Oryzias latipes: one gene and its partner. The protein of the gene in region 1 binds, or shares a complex with, the protein of each later gene. Links are inferred from orthologs where the notes say so. Each region holds a gene or a part of one and is shown in the gene's direction. Other genes may lie near its edges.

Evidence for each region.
Region 2: the proteins of eif2b5 (region 1) and eif2b3 are in contact, whole or in part, in a cryo-EM structure (PDB 7VLK), measured with the Homo sapiens proteins. The link is inferred for Oryzias latipes from reciprocal best matches to the Homo sapiens genes EIF2B5 and EIF2B3. Residues at the interface, in NP_003898.2 of Homo sapiens: Pro190, Val202, Arg222, Arg223, Phe224, Ala225, Phe226, Pro227, Leu228, Phe231, Gln232, Ser234, Ser235, Asp236, Gly237, Val238, Glu239, Val240, Arg241, Tyr242, Asp243; in NP_065098.1 of Homo sapiens: Arg155, Phe157, Glu178, Glu179, Leu180, Val181, Ile182, Lys183, Gly184, Leu187, Gln188, Pro191, Arg192, Ile193, Arg194, Phe195, His196, Thr197, Gly198.

What each region holds. Positions count from the first base shown.
Region 1 is NC_019875.2:17,626,353-17,635,923, reverse strand, and holds the start of eif2b5 (translation initiation factor eIF-2B subunit epsilon), read left to right. Parts: upstream 1-5,106; 5' UTR 5,107-5,204; coding exon 5,205-5,357; intron 5,358-5,568; coding exon 5,569-5,693; intron 5,694-5,764; coding exon 5,765-5,950; intron 5,951-6,024; coding exon 6,025-6,202; intron 6,203-6,284; coding exon 6,285-6,365; intron 6,366-6,442; coding exon 6,443-6,520; intron 6,521-7,540; coding exon 7,541-7,853; intron 7,854-7,934; coding exon 7,935-8,080; intron 8,081-8,798; coding exon 8,799-8,943; intron 8,944-9,026; coding exon 9,027-9,128; intron 9,129-9,203; coding exon 9,204-9,305; intron 9,306-9,451; coding exon 9,452-9,542; intron 9,543-9,571. UniProt on the Homo sapiens protein: Acts as a component of the translation initiation factor 2B (eIF2B) complex, which catalyzes the exchange of GDP for GTP on eukaryotic initiation factor 2 (eIF2) gamma subunit.
Region 2 is NC_019875.2:24,333,011-24,342,581, reverse strand, and holds the start of eif2b3 (translation initiation factor eIF-2B subunit gamma), read left to right. Parts: upstream 1-4,389; 5' UTR 4,390-4,699; intron 4,700-5,510; 5' UTR 5,511-5,528; coding exon 5,529-5,676; intron 5,677-7,111; coding exon 7,112-7,269; intron 7,270-9,571. UniProt on the Homo sapiens protein: Acts as a component of the translation initiation factor 2B (eIF2B) complex, which catalyzes the exchange of GDP for GTP on the eukaryotic initiation factor 2 (eIF2) complex gamma subunit.

The sequences.
Region 1 (9,571 bases):
GACGCGGGCCCCATGTTTCTTGTTATAATTTGTTTATTCTGTAGCTAAAATATCCTATGATTTAGGTTTGGAAGGCTTGCTGACCTATCTTAATGTTCCTATTTTCCATCTACCTTACTTCTCCATTTTCTGAATTCACTTTTGATCTGTTTTTTTGGATTGTCTTGTTATTATTGTAATCCATCAATTTCCACAAGCAATTTAACAACTGTCTTGTGTGGTGTTCATTTGAAAATATTCCTGTCTGTTAGCACTGCATTCTGAAACAATTTCTACAACTTTGATGTCTCAAAGAAACCCTAAAGAACACAAAAATAAAAAAGTTGGTGACTTTCTCCTCATATAATCGGAATATTTGTGATTGAGCAGCAAACATGAAAAGAGAATTAAATAAAGCACTTAAGTGATCAGAAAAAAACGGGGAAAAATGCTTTGTGAAGGAGGGGCACATTTTTTTCACTGTTCAATTTTTGTCACAGACACGTTAGTCAATAAAGTTGGAGAGAAAAAAGTTGAACGTTCAAAAGTCGTGGTCCTCTATCGCCCTCTTCTGGTGGGCGGAGAAAGCGACAGACGTTTTCATAACATGGAGGTTGTTGTGTAAAGACGCCACTGAAGTTCAGAGAAGCTACGGACTTCGTAACTGTTCGTCCTGCATTCAGCGGTGGTTAAAGTATGTATGATTTTTGTCAATATTTGTGTTTAACTGGCGTTTCAATCTATCATGTTGAAAAACGCTGAAAAAATGCCGAATCCGTTAGTTTAGACTGCAAACAGTGAGCAATAAAAGTGTAGGATAAGCAAAGATGATCAGATAATAATAACATTTAGGCACTGTAGATTAGTTAGTAAGTAGATAAATGTTCTTTGTTCGTTCATTATTAGTTTGGTCTACTTAATTTTAGCAGCTCTATTTAATATAGGCTATAAACTGTCAAGAGTGTTGGCTGTTTTTGTTTACATTTTACCACACATCTTTGCCAAAATCCATTTTAGATCTATTTTTAAATCACATTATTTTATCAAAATAAATGAAATAGAAAGTCAGTGAGTACTCGTGACCTTTAGTGACCCCTTGTTGTGTAAGTTCCTGTCTAATGAAGGTCTTTAAGGAGTGTCAGCTCCAGCCTTGATCATAAACTTTTGAGGAAAGCAGCCAAACAAAGTCCTTCAGTAAGACTTTTCCTTTCTCCACAGATGGCCTCAGCTGTGGCTGACAGGGCAATAGGAGCCATTGTTGGATCAGCTGTTGCAGATGCTGCAGGTAATTTTTTTGACTGGTTATCATTTTGTTTATTCTGCATCTAATTCAGTCGGATAACATTTTTTAAACACCCCCTCGAAGGAAAATTGGGTTTATTGTGTCTACTACTCCAAGGCAAATGTTTAATGAGCTCCAGCCGCTCTGCAGAAACGATGTTCTAGGAAACGACCCAGGTTTTTTGGGTTGTTTTGGCTAAAATCGACATAATCATAACTAAAATACCATTGGGAATGGTTTTACAATAGATCAAAAGATGGTCGGAGTTGGACTTGTGTCATTATTTTTCAAAGGATCCTGCATACCTTTTACCACATCAGTATTTGCTCTTGAACAGCTTGTTCACATTTCTATCACATTTCCCCCAATAACCCAATCAAACAAGTAATTATTACCTGTAAAGATCTTCGTCTGAACTAAAAAAAAAAACTGACTGGATGATGTATTTACAGCACAGCCTCTGCACTGGGTCTATGACCTGCAGAAGCTGAAGGGGATACTGGCTCAGGATTCAAACCCAGAGTTCCGTTCTGAGTCTGCCAACCCTTTTTACCGAAGGAAGACGGGCGAGCAGAGTTGCTACGGAGACCAGGCTTATGTGCTGCTGGAAAGCTTGTCTGAATGTGGAGGTGAGCCAGTCTCTCCTAATATCTGTATTTGGACCCAACAAAGTGGTAGATTTTTAACACAAAGATGCTCCGCAAAACAACTAAATGAGATTTTTATCGCCCCAGTCATGTGGCATTGATCAACCAAATTTTAATCAATTAACAAATTATGAATTTGAGGATATTTTATATTTTATGTCATTTTAACTCCCGTCATGATTCATTGATCACTGTCGTCTTCTAGGTCTAAACGTTGAACATCTAAAGCAGCGCACAATGAAGTTCTTTGGACCGGGTTCAGAGTACGACACACCCATCAATGATCCGTACAGAGACAAAACCGGTACGGATCTTTTCAGCTCCTCTGGAGTGAAATGCTGCATTTACTATTATGGTATTCCCTTAAGGAGAAAATCTTTGTACTCATAGAATGTTTGTTTTTAAATTCATCAGGGCCGAGACCTCAGCTGCCCATTGAGGGACCATGGAGGCAGGCATGTTTGAAGAGTTTCATAAAGAATATGGATGCTGGAAAAGAGGAAACAGGTTATTCCAAAAATAAATTAATAAAATAAAACAGTTTGCTGCTATTAAAACAAACAAACTTGACGTGTCTTCTCTGTTGCAGGCTGTGAGACGGATTGTCAGATCGACGGTGTAGCCAAGCTGGCTCCTGTTGTGGCTTTCTATGCAGGGCAGCCTGACATGTTGGAGAAGGTCGAACAGGCCGTCCGCGTCACTCAGAACAGCGACGAATGTGTTGCAGAAACTTTGGGGGCAGCAAGGTTTTTAACATGTTTCTTCTCCTGGTGGCACTAATGAAATGGGATAGATCCTTATATTATTATCTATCTTTTTTCAGTGCCACTCTTGATGATGTAAACTTATCCCACTTATCCTCAAATTTAGATTTAATAAAGAGCTACAATAAAAATAAATACATAAAATAAAATCCCCCAATTCATTTCTTGAGGTTTCTGGAACATTTCATCTTGAACGGTGCTGATCCGGGAGCCCTGGAGGCAGTGCTGAATCAGCTGAATGATCTGAAGAGAAAGCAGCCTCAGGATTTGGATAAAGCGGTGGTCGGTATGTGAGATCAACTGCTGCTTTGTTACTGATAAAGTCATGAGATTGGGTCATGCTGTTATCCGTCATGTCCTGTTGTTATTTCAGGCCACATTCATCAGGTGAAAGAGCATTTATCAAAGACTCCCCAGGAGATTATCCCCACAGTGTTCCCAAACACATGAGGTACTTTGACAGTTTAAGCGTCTCTGGTGACAGAAAATCTTAATTCTTTGAACTTCGGCTCAAATAATTATGAATTATTGCATTTATTATTATTTTTTTAGGTCTGCCAGGTGCATTCCAGGCAGCGCTGCACGGAGTCCTAACGGCCAAGAACTTTGAGACGGCTGTCAGAGACACCATGAGCTGCGGTGGGTGCACCTGCAGTCGAGGGTCCTTCATCGGAGCATGTTTGGGGGCTCAGGTCAGATCATTTGCCTAATTTAGCCACTATTCCGTTACAAGTCAGTGCTGTTGGTGTAATTCATGGCATTTGCTAATTCTAGGTTGGTCTTGAGGGAATCCCAGCATCTTGGAGGGAAAAAACCCTGAGATACAACTCTGTGTTGGAGCACGCCAAGAAGATTACCAAACATCTTTAGTCATATGAGAAGAGTGAGGCACTGAGAGCATCATAGAAGATTGCTGAGCTTTGGCAGAGCATCGAATGAAGGCTTTTGTCTAAACTTATGTGAGGCAGAAGCCTGATGTTTTTTTATGTCTGCAAAAGGATCAAAAGTTGTTTATGATGTTCTCTCACTTGCACTTTTCTCTCGTTTATGAACAGTGACTTATTATAAAACGATGATTGTTATTGTTGACGCTGAAAACTATGATGGGTGAAAATGATAAAAAAAAAAAGGTCAAATGAAGGAAATGAAAGTGCAAGGAGTAGATATGAAAATAAAAAACTGGCGGAAAAAATGAAATTATAAATTGTCAAATAAATCAATACATTTCAAATCTATTTGTTTCGATGTACTCACAATTCAATAAGGTGAAAAGAATTGGAAAAAAACTTACAAAAAATTGGGTATAAATTTCAAATTTCACCAAACCTTGCATTTATTCTTTTTTTGTTTTCTCAAACTTTTTTTCTTCAATTCAGTAATCAGTATTTCCTAAAGCTTTCGTTTACATCTAAGTATATTTCAGCAACATGAATATTGTGACTTAAGTTTAACTACAATGCTACACATTTATGGAATGCAAATTTTGGCCAAATTTATTCACGCTTCAAAACCCAACCTGAAACTTTTTCTCTGTTTTGATGGTTCTGTTTTGATACGCGGCACCATCTGCCTATTTCTTTTTTACATTTTTTTGTACACTTTTCAGTGTACTGTTATTAGTTTTTTATTTTGCAAATGAATTTGAAGTTCTATAAAACACTTAAATTTACCTTAAACTAAGTGGATGCTAAAGAATGTTTGAAATATAAATAAATGATTGCGGTAAAAACTTTCTGCCTGTATCATTTTTTTTTTATATAAGGGGATACAACTCTTCATCTTTAAAAAAAAAATTCAGATGACAATAAAGTAGGCTATTGTTTCACCAAAGGCCTCAAATGCAAGAAAATTAGGCGTGTTATGTTGTTTTTGGGTTATTTTTAGTTTTACATCAAAACATATATATGTAGTCTAATAAAAAATGTAATCTCCCAAATAATTTCTGTTTATGTCTGGCAAAAGTCTTTGTGATTTTTAGAAAGGAATTTTGGTCACCAGTACTTGAAATCAAACATACTTTATTGTCCAAAACACACAGGACAAGGAAACATTAACTATGAGGATGCCATGGAATGGCATTTGCGTAACAAAACATACATTACAGTAAATAGAAAAATGCAAACAATTTTACATTCATCTATGATTTTTTTGTTTATACCATAAGAAAAAGTAAATAAGATTCAATTTTTTTTATTATTAACGTTCAATCAATGTTGCGATTTGCAAAACACACATATATATATATATATATATATATATATATATATATATATATATATATATATATATATATATATATATATATATATATATATATATATATATATATATATATATATATATATATAAATATTTTTTGAAACTGTAATATATAAACAGTTTGCAGTTACAGTTATGTGTGTGTATATGTGTGTGTAAGCTGTATATATATATATAAAAGTATCCAAAAAGATGAGGCGCGGAGCGCGGACCACTGACTAAAATTGCCTCTTGGTGCTCGCCGTAGTGGTTTGTGACGACAGGTTGTGAAACATGGCTGCTAGAGGAGGAAAACAGAGCCGCTCGGGTATGTCGGGTAGGAAAGGCGCAGGTGAGCAGGAAGACGAGGAACAACCGTTGCAAGCCGTTTTAGTGGCTGACAGCTTCAACCGGAGGTTTTTCCCGGTAACCAAAGACCAGCCGCGGGTAAGCAGCGAGCTAAGACAACCCGGGATGCTAATGGAGGCTATAATGTCCATGCTCGGAATTGACAAGAGCTGCACATGTTATCAAGTGTTTCCCGAACTATTAAAGCGCTATTTTGTAATGTTCTTTAAATATATCTTGATGGGACATGTTGAGATTGACGTTCGACATTTTAAAAGCTTTGCTGACAGATTGTGATTGTTGATGCCAGGCTTTGCTGCCGCTCGGTAATGTTGCCATGATCGACTACACCCTGGAGTTCCTGACCTCCACTGGAGTCCAGGAGACCTTTGTGTTCTGCTGCTGGATGGCCAGCAAAATCAAGGAGCATTTACTGTGAGTTGGATAGCTTCCGTCAGTGTTAGGGATGTCTTTTCTCTTTGTTTGAACCTTCCACTCTCCTACAGGAAATCAAAGTGGTGTCGACCCACCTCCTCAAACACAGTCCACATCATCACCTCAGAACTGTACCGCTCCCTTGGGGATGTCCTCAGGGATGTCGACGCCAAGTCCCTGGTGCGATCTGACTTTGTGTTGGTTTATGGAGACGTGGTGTCCAACATCGACATGAGTCAGGCGCTGCAGGAGCACAGGTAGATCCCCTCAGAGAACGCTCCCCTTTGGATTCTCTGCAGATTTTTTCTCTTCAGCATTTTGTTCTCGTCAGGCAACGGCGAAAGATGGAGAAGAACATCTCTGTGATGACCATGATGTTTAAGGAGTCGTCTCCGGGTCACAGATCCCGCTGTGAGGAAGATGATGTCATTGTAGCTGTGGACAGTAAGAGTCAGCAGATTTTACACTACCAGAAGACACAAGGCTTAAGGAAGCTGCAGTTTCCCATGGTAAACTCTGGTTTCACGGTTAGCTTATTGCTCTTTCTCCTTTTAAGGATTTGACTAATTAAACACTGTTGGTGTTCTGCAGAACATTTTTCATTGTGGAACTGATGAGTTTGAAATCAGACATGACCTCCTGGACTGTCACATCAGCATCTGCTCTCCACAGGTCAGCTTTGCTACAAAAATAGAAAAATAAAATCTTTGTTATTGTATTTTAATGCGCTTCTCCCTATATTTTTGTAGGTTGCTGAGCTCTTCACCGATAATTTCGACTACCAGACTAGGGATGATTTTGTTCGAGGAATTCTGGTCAACGAAGAGGTGCTCCACAAATCTAATTATTGCTTTTTAAAGACCCACTCCAAAGAAAATCTAAATTTTTGTGTTTTTAATGTGTATTTGTGGCATTTTTCTGATGATGGAGGGCATATAAAAAAATTAAGATTAAAACTGCTTTTCTTTATTCAAATGATTGTGAATGAGGAGCAGACAGAAAAAGCTACTGTTGGAAAAAGATTGTACCGTATTTTCCGGACTATAAGTCGCACTGGACTATAAGTCGCATTTTGACAGGAAATTTATTTGACAAAATCTGAGACCAAGAACTAATAAGTTTCACAACCTCATATGACACAATCATAGCAGACTGTTTTCTCATAATTTCACAGTAATTCTTTCTCATACTTATTAATTTATTCCTTTCATGAAGCATCATTGGGGAACTAATACTCTGTTTTCATCCTGTATTTGTAGAAACAGTTGTCATTTTATTGCATTTCTGAATCTATGAAATCATTGGAAAATAGAATATTATGTTGTTAGCCTTCAAGATCTTACTGTAAAAAAAGTTTGCTGATTCTCTGAGTCACTTAACATACTCTTAACACTTAACATACTTCATACATCAAATTGACCCAGGAACATCATCTCTGTTCCTCACAAATGAACATAACAGGAGGGTTAACAATGTATTTATTTCAATTTATTTCTAATATAAGTCGCTGCGGAGTATAAGTCGCACCCCTTGCCAAACTATGAAAAAAGGGCGACTTATAGTCCGGAAAATACGGTAGTTGTGATGTAGATCGGCTACAATCGGCGGGCCACAAGCTCCCTGCTCCGCCTTATTCTGATGCATCTTCTTGTGGACGACTAGATCCATCTACCTCACAGTTTTCCTAGTCCGAGCTGGCATAGTTATTTTGATTTAGTCAAAAACGGCATAATCATAATTAAAAAATCACTAGGAAGACTTAATAGATCAAAGGATGATCGGAGTGGTACTTTCATTTCCGTCTTTGGTCCTTCTGCATGTGACAGTAATTCACTGTTTCTATTCAGATTCTGGGCAACCAGATCCATATGCACGTCACCACGGATGGCTACGGCGTGCGTGTGTCCAACCTGCTCATGTATGATTCGGTGTCGTCGGACTTTGTGCGCCGATGGGTTTACCCCCTCACCCCTGAGTCCAACTTCACCGACCGGGAAGGGCAGATCTGCACATACTCTCGGCACAACGTGTACCGGGGCTCTGGGGTCAGCCTGGGGCACGGCAGCCAGATGGAAGAGAACGTGCTCATCGACCGAGACACAAGCATCGGCGCCAACTGTTCCATCTCCAACAGCGTCATCGGCAACAACTGCACTATAGGTGAGCTCGCTGACAGGTTAACCCAACGGCGCTTCAAAGCCTGTCTGATCCTCTGAAATGTTTCGTCTTTTCCTGCAACAGGAGACAACGTGATCCTAGACCACGCGTACATCTGGAACGACGTCCACATTGCGAGTAATGTGGTGATCCGTCAGTCTGTGGTCTGCGATAAGGTCCAGGTCAAACAGGGTGTGACTCTCGATAAACAGTGCGTCCTGGCTTACAACGTAAGAAACGCACACAGCTGCTATCAAAATCTTCTCTTGTTGGCTCACATGCTCTGGTGTGGACCAAACAACTTTGAGCATGAAGTGCAATTCGTTAACGCAATTATTCACCAGAACTGGTGTTGGCGTGTTTTTACTGTGCATCCCTGAAGCCAACACAACTGGCTGTGTAACTGCTTACATTACTTGCTAAAACTTTTGTCTGTTTCTTCTTACTTTAAGGTTAAACAGCTTACTCTTTTTGTTCACCTTTAGTGAGTGAGTTAAAAATCTGAGATGATTTTGACTGAATTATACTTATTTGAAGTGTAATGGTTGTGTTCACATCACTGACTGTATAAGACAACTGTGAGTGTGACGTCACTCATTGAAAGTGACTATTTCTCCAAGGAAAAGTTGTGCTAAAATGAGGGTGTGGTCTTTTGATTGACATGGGACTGTAGCTTCCATATCAACGACATGCAAATGTACCTGTTTTCAGAAAGATTGGAGCATAATGAGACAAAATTACCGTCAAAACGGACTTTATCTTTCATTCATGCAGTCCGTGGCTCTTCTTCAGCACCTTTTGGGAGAGCAAATCTAGCTGCAGATGTAAAAACTTTTGATTTTTTTCTGCCCTTTTGGATCAATTTCCAGTTTTCTGTTTTTTTTAAAACGAGGCCCAAACTTTGTTTTCTCTGTAGGTTTTTTGTATTCACGTGAACTCTGTCTCCAGGTGGTGATTGGACCCAACGTTTCTCTGCCAGAGGGTACCGTGGTGTCGATGCATCATCCAGAGGAGGAAGAGGAGGAGGACGATGATGAGTTCCTCAGCGATGACGCTCAAGTTGACCAAGGCAAAGACAAAACCAAGCAGAAAGGTGCGTGCTGGCCTGAAGTGATGTGAAATCACCTGTTACTCCTTCATTGTTTTAGGAGATGACTTGGTGCTTCTTTTCTGTAGTTTTTAACCCAGCAGAAGTTGGGGCAGAAGGAAAAGGTTACATTTGGAGAGCCAGCAGTCTGGATGACACGGAGGAGGAGGAGCTGTCACATTGTCTATGGGGTAGGAATCTGTTTCAAAGCTCTCCAGTCTTTATTGAGTGTTATTGTTTTAAATTCTTTGCCTCATGTTGAGCAGGTTTGGTATTGAAGCCGGATCCTGAGAGCGACAGTGAGGACAGCGAGCCTGACGGTCCTGATGACCCAGTAATTCCCTCTCCTGAGATGGATGATGTCAAAGGTGAGCACTCCTAATGTTCGCCCTGCATGACTGCCCCCTACTGGTCAAACAAAAAAAAGCTCTCAGGGCTTTTTATGACAGAAATATATTTCTTAAATTTTGGAAGATTGATCCAAACAGTTAAAGAATTGCATAATTTTGTTTAGTTTTCCAGTTGGAGGTGCTTGGGACCCTGCAGAGAGGTTTGGAGGAGAACATCAGCTGTGACAATCTTGTCCTGGAGATAAATTCTCTCAAGTAAATCTGAGCCTTCTTGCAGTTTTGAT
Region 2 (9,571 bases), about 6.7 Mb from region 1:
TCATTTTGGCCCTGACCGAGCGGACAGGCTGTTATGGTTTCCACAACAGCGGTTAGGGCCCCACAGTGCACCGGCCCTGGAAGAGGCCTGAACACTAACCTCAGTGTGGGTGTGTGTGTCTGTGCCACTGCATGTCTGAGACCACATATGAGCTTCTATGTTCTGCAATACCCACCTCTGAATGTGAGCAACGCTTCAAACACACACACACGTACACACAGATGAACGCACACTCACGAACAATCTTGCTTGGCTCTGCGCTCTTCCTTGGTGGTCTGTGCTGCAAATGTTTATGATCTAAACCAAGCTAATCCAACTGGCTTGTTTCAGTGAATTGAGAATGATTTACAAGATGCTGCAGCATGGCCAACAAGAGGAAGTCTCAGGAACTTTCATGGCTGCATGTCAAATCAATCTGTAATCAGACGTGCACGAGTGACTGTCGGGTCCCATAAAAGCTGATGAAAACAACACAAATTGTCCCAAAAAAACAGTTTTTTCACTTACTTATTTATTTTTAAAACACCTTTTGTCTGGATTGATTTCTTTACAGACACATCATTTTGATCAATGACCGTTTAAAAGTGTGACTTTACATATAGAAGAAAAAAACACCATCATTGCTGTTCTGACACAAAAAAGAAAAAAACGTCCAAAATATTTAGAAATTGTTGATGGTTTCTTGCAACCATCTGGTCCTGTATGAGGACCAGCATTGTGTTTAGTTTTGTCCATACATTTTTATTCATTTCTTTATATTATGTGTCTGTATTTTACAAATACATCTGGCTTTGATTCAAAGAAAAAAGCAGCAGATAAATGAACTTTGTCTCAGCACATAAAGATTTGTGTATTTCAAAGGGACAAACATTTCATGTACAATCTGTCACTGTCTGTCTGCCGTACAGTCAATACACGTTTTACAACAAAATAAATAAAGCAAACATATGTTTTCATATCATCTTCTTTTGTGTGGTCAATGGGTATTTGCTGCTCTGGTGGAATTGACTTTTTTTCAGAATAAACTGGTTTTCATTTTGCTATCTATAAAACTGAAAGGAGATGTTTGCAATGATGTAAAAAAAAAAAAAGATTTGACTGCTTAACTTTATATTTTAGTTGTGTCTTTATACACAGAAAATTCTCATTTTTACTGAATAATTTGTTACAATAGTCTGATTTTAGAAAGCTTTTAAAATACTAGTTGTTAAAGTGTATAATAAAACATAGAAATAAAAGATCATATAATACTATTTGTCAAAGGCTGATGATTGATTTGTGTTTTGACATGCAACATACTTCCATCCATCCATCCATCCATCCATCCATCCATCCATCCATCTTCTTGATTCCCTTTGGGCTCATGTGGCTGCAGGAGCCAGTGCAGCTACTTTTGGACAAAGGGGAGGGTATGTTGCAGGACCACACACTCACACCTAGGGGCAATTTAGAGACATCCCATGTTTTTGGACTGTCGGAGGAAGGTGGAGTTCTAGGAGAAAAGTCAAGCATGCACAGGGAGAACCTACTAACCCAAGAAAGGTCCCAACCGGGATTCGAGCCATGGCTTCACTGCTGTGAGGCGAGAGTGCTAACCACTATACCCCACTGTACAGCCCTCAGATGCAACAATGAAGTATAAATAGTTTAAATATACTGACACTACAGAAACTCATGATGTCTGAAATGGAGCATCCAAAACTGTTGCGGAGCAAACGTTGTGGACTAAAAAAAAACCTCGATGGGTGTTCTGGAGAGTGTAGGGCTGCTATGACAGCAGATCATCAAGCTCTATAGGTTGAAGGGTAGAATCTGGTTTTGCAGGACTCGCTGCCTTCCTTCTAAGGGAGGCACCTCAGCTCTGCAAAATGTTTCAGTGTCACAATAACCTCCACGTGAAACCCAAGCTGAACAAGCCGAAGAACGTTTGTGGGTCTGAATTGTTGATGTTATGGCTGAATTGTGTGTAATTAAATTGAAAGTTGAAGTTTTTACTGGTGAGCCCAAGCAGTGCTCGTAGCTGAGGTTCCATTTATAGAGAGAGGGATTGCACATCCTCCAGCCACTGCTTAGTTTTATTCTTTTACTCCTATTATGGAACAAAACGTTTGTCATAGAAAAACGTTTTGATTTTTTAGAAAAAAATCGTTTGATTTTTTAGAAAAAAATCGAGCACATATACCTTGATTGCCTTTTATTTCCTAAATCTCAAATGTCAAATTTCTTACATTAGTACAAACTCAAAGTTTTTCTCTTAGCTCTATAGTTTCATTTATCAACCTGTCATGCAATAAACACGTCAGGATTTTTTTTTACTTCAAAAGGCTGTGTCTAAGTAAACCATAATCCAGAAAATGTTGGTTCTGATTTAATAAAATGTAAATTTTCATGCTGTAATAGCATTGTTGTATCTAGCAAAAGGAAAACCCTTAAAGTGTTTTAAGGGCTTTGCAATATATACTGCCGCTTTCCTGTACAGTGCATGCCTTTAGCTGCCAGAGGAGTCCTTGCAAAGCAAAAGAGAAGGATTACAGTAATAAACTTTTAGGATATAGAAAAACGTGCTCTGGTTTTGAAAGGTCTAAACTGAAGAATATTTGGATGAAACAACATTTTGAATGGATTATAAAACTAAAAAAAAAAAACAAACTATTTAAACAGAGATAAAATGTAACATTAAATGCAAAAAATAATGTAAGCACAAAAGTTTGAAAGCAACTGCAAAATGGTGAAAGAGTGATGTAACTGATGTGTGAGTGTGCATAGGCTGAAGAAAAAACAGTGCATAAACTGTAGTGGCTAGAGACGAAGAAGTTAGGTATAAATGTAAATGAAGATAGGTGACATGCTGGTTTAAATGTTCTTAGTGGAGATCTTAACCAGAAACGTAATGTAAAGAAAATGCAAGAAACCATTCATAAAAATATCTGTAGGCTTATAAGAAGTCTTATTAGCCCTTTGTGAAATTCATCCTGTTAAGTGAGCTTTCAGTGGAAACAGCCTGGTTCCATGGTGTAGTTATGTGCAGTGCCTCCCACACGTCAGCTCCCTGTGGTTAACCAGCCGAGCAGTAATGTCTGTGAGCTTTTTAGACTTCAGTTTGACTTTTATTAGAACTTCACTTTTTGCCAGATTAAAAAAAAGTTTTTATTTTATGAAGCGAGATGTCACCTGTACTTTGACAACACCTTGTAAAGTTTGTGGTTGAACATGAAAAATGGAAAAGGTCTTCTAAAGGGTAAAATTGGAGAAAATAACAGACATTCAAGTTTCCATTTAGTGAAAGTTGTTGGTAAATTTAGTACTCCCTAAACAGCACAATTTTAAAGTCTATTCCTTTTCAGATTTGCAAATGCGCTTCTTTCCAAAGATTGGGGTTAGCTGCACAAGTCAATCAAGGAAAGTGACCTTGGACAAACATTTTTTAAACATTTTTTGCGAGAAACTTCTTAATGATAACCAGATCTATTTGGCTATGGTACGAAGTTTACTTTAAAAAGCTTCAGTTTTCATTCAGTTTGAAATGATGTTGTTACTTTGTAAAAGTTAAACATATGCGTGTTATGCAGTTTAGCAAAATTCAGTAAACCAGTACATTTTATCATGAACTTTTTCAGTAACTCGCATTCACATATCTTTGTGGGAGAGTATTGTTGTTTTAGGGGGCTAAAGCAGCTAAGCTGCTTTGTCTCTTTGTCCTTCATTTCCTCTCTCCTTCTCTTTCTCTAGTTGCTTGCCTGGTTTTGAGCAAGTCATAATGAGCAGTCAAGCTCATCTCCTGGCTAGAGCAAACAAAACCAAAGCCACATTCCCCAAGCTCAATTTGCTGTTAAGTTTCAGCTTTGTGAATTACGAGTTTTCAACCTTGAAGTGTGGAGCAGTAGATGGGTGGGTGGCTTCTTCTGGCTGGTAATCTGCTCACACTACATTTGGTTGCTGAAACCACATTCCATCAGCAAAAGTGTATAAAAATATGTTTATACTTTTATTTTGTTTTTTATATACTTTTGTTGATGGAGTGCTTTAGTTTCAAACAAATATAGTGTGGTGGGTCTGTAGACAACAACTTCGGTTTGATGCATTGTTACTAAATCAAACTATACTGAACCAACAATCAATACAAATACATAAAAATCATCTTTTTTTTTTGAAGCATTTGATCAATTAAAATGTTTCACGTTATTATTATTATTATTATTATTATTATTATTATTATTATTATTATTATTATTGTTGTTGTTGTTGTTGTTGTTGTTGTTGTTGTTGTTGTTGTTGTTGTTGTTGTTGTTGTTTTTATTGCTGTTGTTGTTGTTTTAGCAGTAATTTGGGTGTACTGTTATTTACTAACCAAAGGTGGCGGCTGGAGGAACCACTTTGTATAGGAAACTGTTTAACTACGGATGAATTTTCCTGAACACCACAATGTGTCATCATGCAATGCTAGCTGTTAGCTTGTTTAAGCGTTTGCTGTAAATGACCTAACTGTTTAGCTTTATTTTAGTCAGGATCCCAGTCTGATCCGATTAGATGTTTATCGTCCATGAGTCATATTTAAATGGGTTTGATTTATCTGCAGAACGGCGGTAACTTTGATGGCTAGTTGCTAACAGAGTTAGCCAATTGACAGTGACAGGAACACGTCTTCCATGCGTCTGCAGCTCATTCCCCTACCACGCCGGTAATCAAAACAAAGAAACAGGTACGTTTGAAAGACACTTTTAATATTTTGAATATTTCTAAGTCTTTAATAGCATAACGGTCTTAACGTGTCATAAAAAACTGTCATGTTGATAATTCGGAGACTTCTCCCTGCTAGCAATACTTTACTTGGATTACCACAGATTTGTTGCTGTTGTTTTTATTAGTACAACTGAAGATAATTGAATCCTTCAGTTGGATACGGAACAAAAAAGACGCACAAATAAACGGATGTTTAATTTTTACTAATTTATCTCAATCACTTGACTCTCTTAGAGAGTAATCATAAATGTGATTTAAACTCTATTCATTGATTGATTTTTAAATTGTGTTTATACAAATGAGTTTAAGTTTAAGTCATTCTTACTAATTCAGAATCTACTTCCAAAGTCTTTTTCAGTTTACAATTCATTTGCTACTCAGTAAAAGCAGCAAATATATTAATAACTGATATATCTGAAATTAAACCATACATGTATATTTTAACTTCATCTAGTGGAGTTCATCAACAGTTTAAATCAGCTCAACCAACTTTAATGATATTTTATTTCCTCTTAAAGTTAGTTTTCCTTAAGTAAAAAAAAAATCATCCTAAGGGTTTAACTGAGTGGATGACATACTGTTGTCTTTGTTTAGTTTTTATTTATTTATTTTCTTCAGTAGAGAAAACACTAAAAGCATCACTTTTTGTACTGAATTTGTTGGAGAACGGCTCAGTATTTATAGTTCAGACTGTCCAGAATAGGAGTTTTGAACAATAAACATCATTTTAACCCTTGTCCTTCTGTGTTGGTGGTGACTGTCCTCCATAGCCCGTTGCTGCAGACATCATGGAGCTCCAAGCGGTGTTGATGGCGGCGGGTGGTGGTTCCCGGATGACTGATTTAACATACAACACCCCTAAAGCAATGCTGCCCGTTGGCAACAAGCCCCTCATTTGGTATCCCTTGAACTTGCTGGAAAGGGTAGGATTTGAAGGTGAGGGCAAAACCAAAGAATATATAAACAAAAAATATATATTTATATTACAATAAGAGTCAATTAGCTGTTCCATCCATACTCTTTCACCATGGACAAAAAATACCCCTTGAATTTACAGGCTCACTGAAACCACCTTCAATTTTTCTATATAATTACTTGGAAAATGATCAACCAGTTTTTATTTTATTTTTTATTTTTTTGCATGTTTAATATATTAGGACATACATTTGCTATAATAGGAGAAAAGTAATACAAAGAAATCGCTTGTACATTTATTTCTAATGATCAACAACTTTAAATGCTACTGAACAGAACATTTTGTATTCTTTAGACTAACAAAAAATAAAATAAAATGATGTAATACGGCAAAAGGTTTGTGTGAATAGTGATAAAATGACAATTGACTCTACAAGCTTAAGCTAAGTTTCAAAAGAATGGCTTGAATGCTTTTTTTCTTTAGTAAGATCAAGGTTTTGCAAAATCGATTGAATAATCTGAAAATACATTTTGTATAGATGTACAGGCTCTACAGCAGATCTCAGAACAGAGATTTCCCTCCATCGGTTTGACTTTAGATTACACTTTCCACAACACACCTATAGAACTATGCAACACATTTTACCGAAAACTATTGCATTTTTTACATTTAGATTAGTATGTTGCTTCCCCTTTATCCAACTAAACCATTGAAATCAAAATATTTATTTACCTTATTGTATTCATTGTAATATGCGGAGAAGTAAAACTACATATTGATAGTTTTGTGACCGTATTTAAAGTGTAGCTTCAGCTTAACCACCATTTATGGCTAAATCGAGCTTTAGTACATTGACAGTATTCCGCTGTAATGCTTACTGATAGCTCTGCTGTCAAGTCCTGTCTTTACATCATCAAGCACATTCAATTTAATGCTTTTATCTGCGTGTCAGGAAATTTGTATCCATTGACTGGTGTGAATGTCCACGTTTGATTTGTGAATGTCCACATTTGATTTACAAAGTGGATTTTTTTTTGTGCTGCAAGTTTTTAAATCTATACAGGATCTTTTCCTGCAGACAGTAAGCCAGACTGTTTGTTGTAAAACCCTGTAGTTTCTTACTTACCTAAATAAGACTTGTTTTCAATGCGTAATCATCCTGTGTGGCCGACAGTTAACTGGCTGCAGCCTCCTAACCAAAGCTATGCAATTAGATTTTACTGGCCTGTCACAGCTAGAGTGAAGAAATCCCCATTAAAAACTATTTATGCAGATGGAGCTGAGTAATGTAGACAGACTGGTATGTGTTGATTGATATGTGCATTCAAAAGGCTGGAGGTATAATCTCAGCTTCGATGGAAGATGACTGATTTTGCCAAATTAGATTTTAAGTAAGCAAATGCATTTGGCAACTTTTTCTATGTAAAAAAAAAAAAATCATATCTGTGTTTTCAGAGGTCATTATAATCACCACAAAAGAAGTGCAGAAGATGATGAGCATGGACCCCAAAATAAAGGTGGACGTGAAGATGAAGCTGGATGTGGTTTGCATCCAGGAGGATGGAGACATGGGCACCGCTGATGCTCTCCGACACATTCAGCAGAAGATTAAGGTGTGTGTGTGTGTTTTCTTGCATAGGTTTAGTGGAAACTTGAGTTTTGAGTCGTACGGTCATAATAGTTATTTAAACTCAATGTTGGTATTGTACATTTTTTTCGTTTTGTTCCTGATTCGATAAATAAGAAGGGGAGGATTAAACCATCATCAACCACAGTTTGAACTGCTCATAGGTTACAGGCTTTTATTTTGTAGGATTTTCACTGACTGTTTTTATGGTGAATCTGTTTGAGAACTCGCGAAGTGGCTCTGAAAATAACAAAATAGGAACACAAGCGCCGCATAATGTGAATAAAGCTGATTGCTGTTGCAGAGTGAATGATCTTCAGCTGAAGACCAAAGATAAAATAGCTGTACTTTAGAGTGGTGGTGTAAATCTGAGAAAAAGCAATAACTGATTAAAAAAAAGATACATCTGGGTCAAAATATTGATGGAGGATGAAACTGGAGCATGAAAGATCCTGCAGTCTTCATTACCAGCCAACATCAATGAAAACTATGAAAGATAAACTCAGCAGTTATGCTGGTGTTGCAGGTTGTTTTTCTTCCATCCAAAGCCAAGGAATGGATGAAAAAAAAGTACTGATTTGTGTCTTGTGATATTTTACTTTGTTTTTTTTTTTCCTTTGGACCACCAGATTTGGTCTGTATTTGTGCTGAAACTCTTGAAGCTGTTTTCATCAGTCCTGCTGCAGTCTCCTGAAGTTAGGGAGCATTATTGTACTCTAACTCACTTGGATTATAATCCTTAAATTCTGCCTGGATTTCATATAATCTCACGACAATCCGCATCTCCAGGAGCTTAACTGCATTTTGCAACTGTAAGCCTTTATTAGGAAAGGCAGTGTTTTATTGAAATCTATTGCTCCAGACCAGGGCTGCCCAGCCTGCCTTTTTAGTTTTTACTGTTTATTTTTTGGACTTTTTGCTTCTTATTATCTGTATCAGGTGTGTATAGTCAATCAGAATGATGAGACACGTGAGATTAGGTAATCAATAGAACTGGAAAGTATAGGCAGGGTAGTAGAGCCTCAGGACCAGGGTAAGGCAGCCATTGTCTAAACAGCAGCCTCTTGTTTTCTATTAAAAACCCAAAACAGGTACACAAATTGTCTGCATGTCACATCTTGCTGGGCAGCCCTTTTTCCACTGAGGAGCTGCAGATGCACCATGATTGTGGTGTTCAGGTACCTCTGATCCAGCTCATCAGTTCTGCAGAGACGTGATGAGTTGCAGTGATTTTAACAGGAGCGGGAAGCAATAACAGAGGAATTCTGGGCTGGAGTTCTCATGAAATATGTGCACTGAATCCCTAAACTGGATTTAAGATGATAATTAATATGATCCTCCCTTGGAAGATGCATATTTATGGATGTAATTTACAAATTGAATTTCTTGCTCTTTTTTTTTTTTATTCTGTTGGTTTAATCAAGATTTTTTTGTGTGTGTATTAATGAAAATTCCATCTTTGTTCATTTTTGTCCTTTGAAAACTGTTTTTCATTACCAACTATTTTGGTTTTGAAATGACAATGTTTACTTAAATTAATTGAATCATAAATGTCCATAATCTTGATTATTTGTAGATCTAAATCAATAGCTCTTTTAAATTCAACAACTCACTTGAAAGAGAAATTATCTTGTTTAGAAAACGGTTAAGTTCTCTTTTTCACACCAGTGAGTCAAATATTCTAATATTTATCAGTAAAATTCATTGATGTGAACTTTGCAAATTATGCTAACTTGTTTAACATATTTTGCATTACTAATTTAGATACAATTGTGCCAAACGTCTAACCTAGGAAGTAATTGTGTGTTTTATTACTCAGAACAACTTTGATCTAAATCATTGCAGACCTCTTTTAGGGGGAACCTTCAGTTTCTTCTCTAATATGATGTCAACTTGTGGGGTTTTCAAAATACGGGTGTTCTGGAGGCTTGTTTTTTATGCGTATAAATCTGCTCAAATAAAAACACATTTAGGAATACAAGATTGTATTTTTGTCTGTTCATAATCATACATTTTCCACATGGAAATTTTTTTAAATGTTTTCTTTCGTGTCTTTACAGATTGGTGTTATTTTTGCTTTAGATTTCCTTGATAGATGCTCGGTATGTCAACATGTGTGCACACCAAACTGCACTCCTGCTCCTGCATGCTCCCAGGGAGAAGCGTTCAGGTCCTAATCCCTCAAGCATCTCGCTAGATTAGAGGCATTGAGTTACAAACGCTCACACACTGCATGGTGACGAGTGAAGAACTCTACCCCATCGCAGCATGGAGATCCATCCATCTGT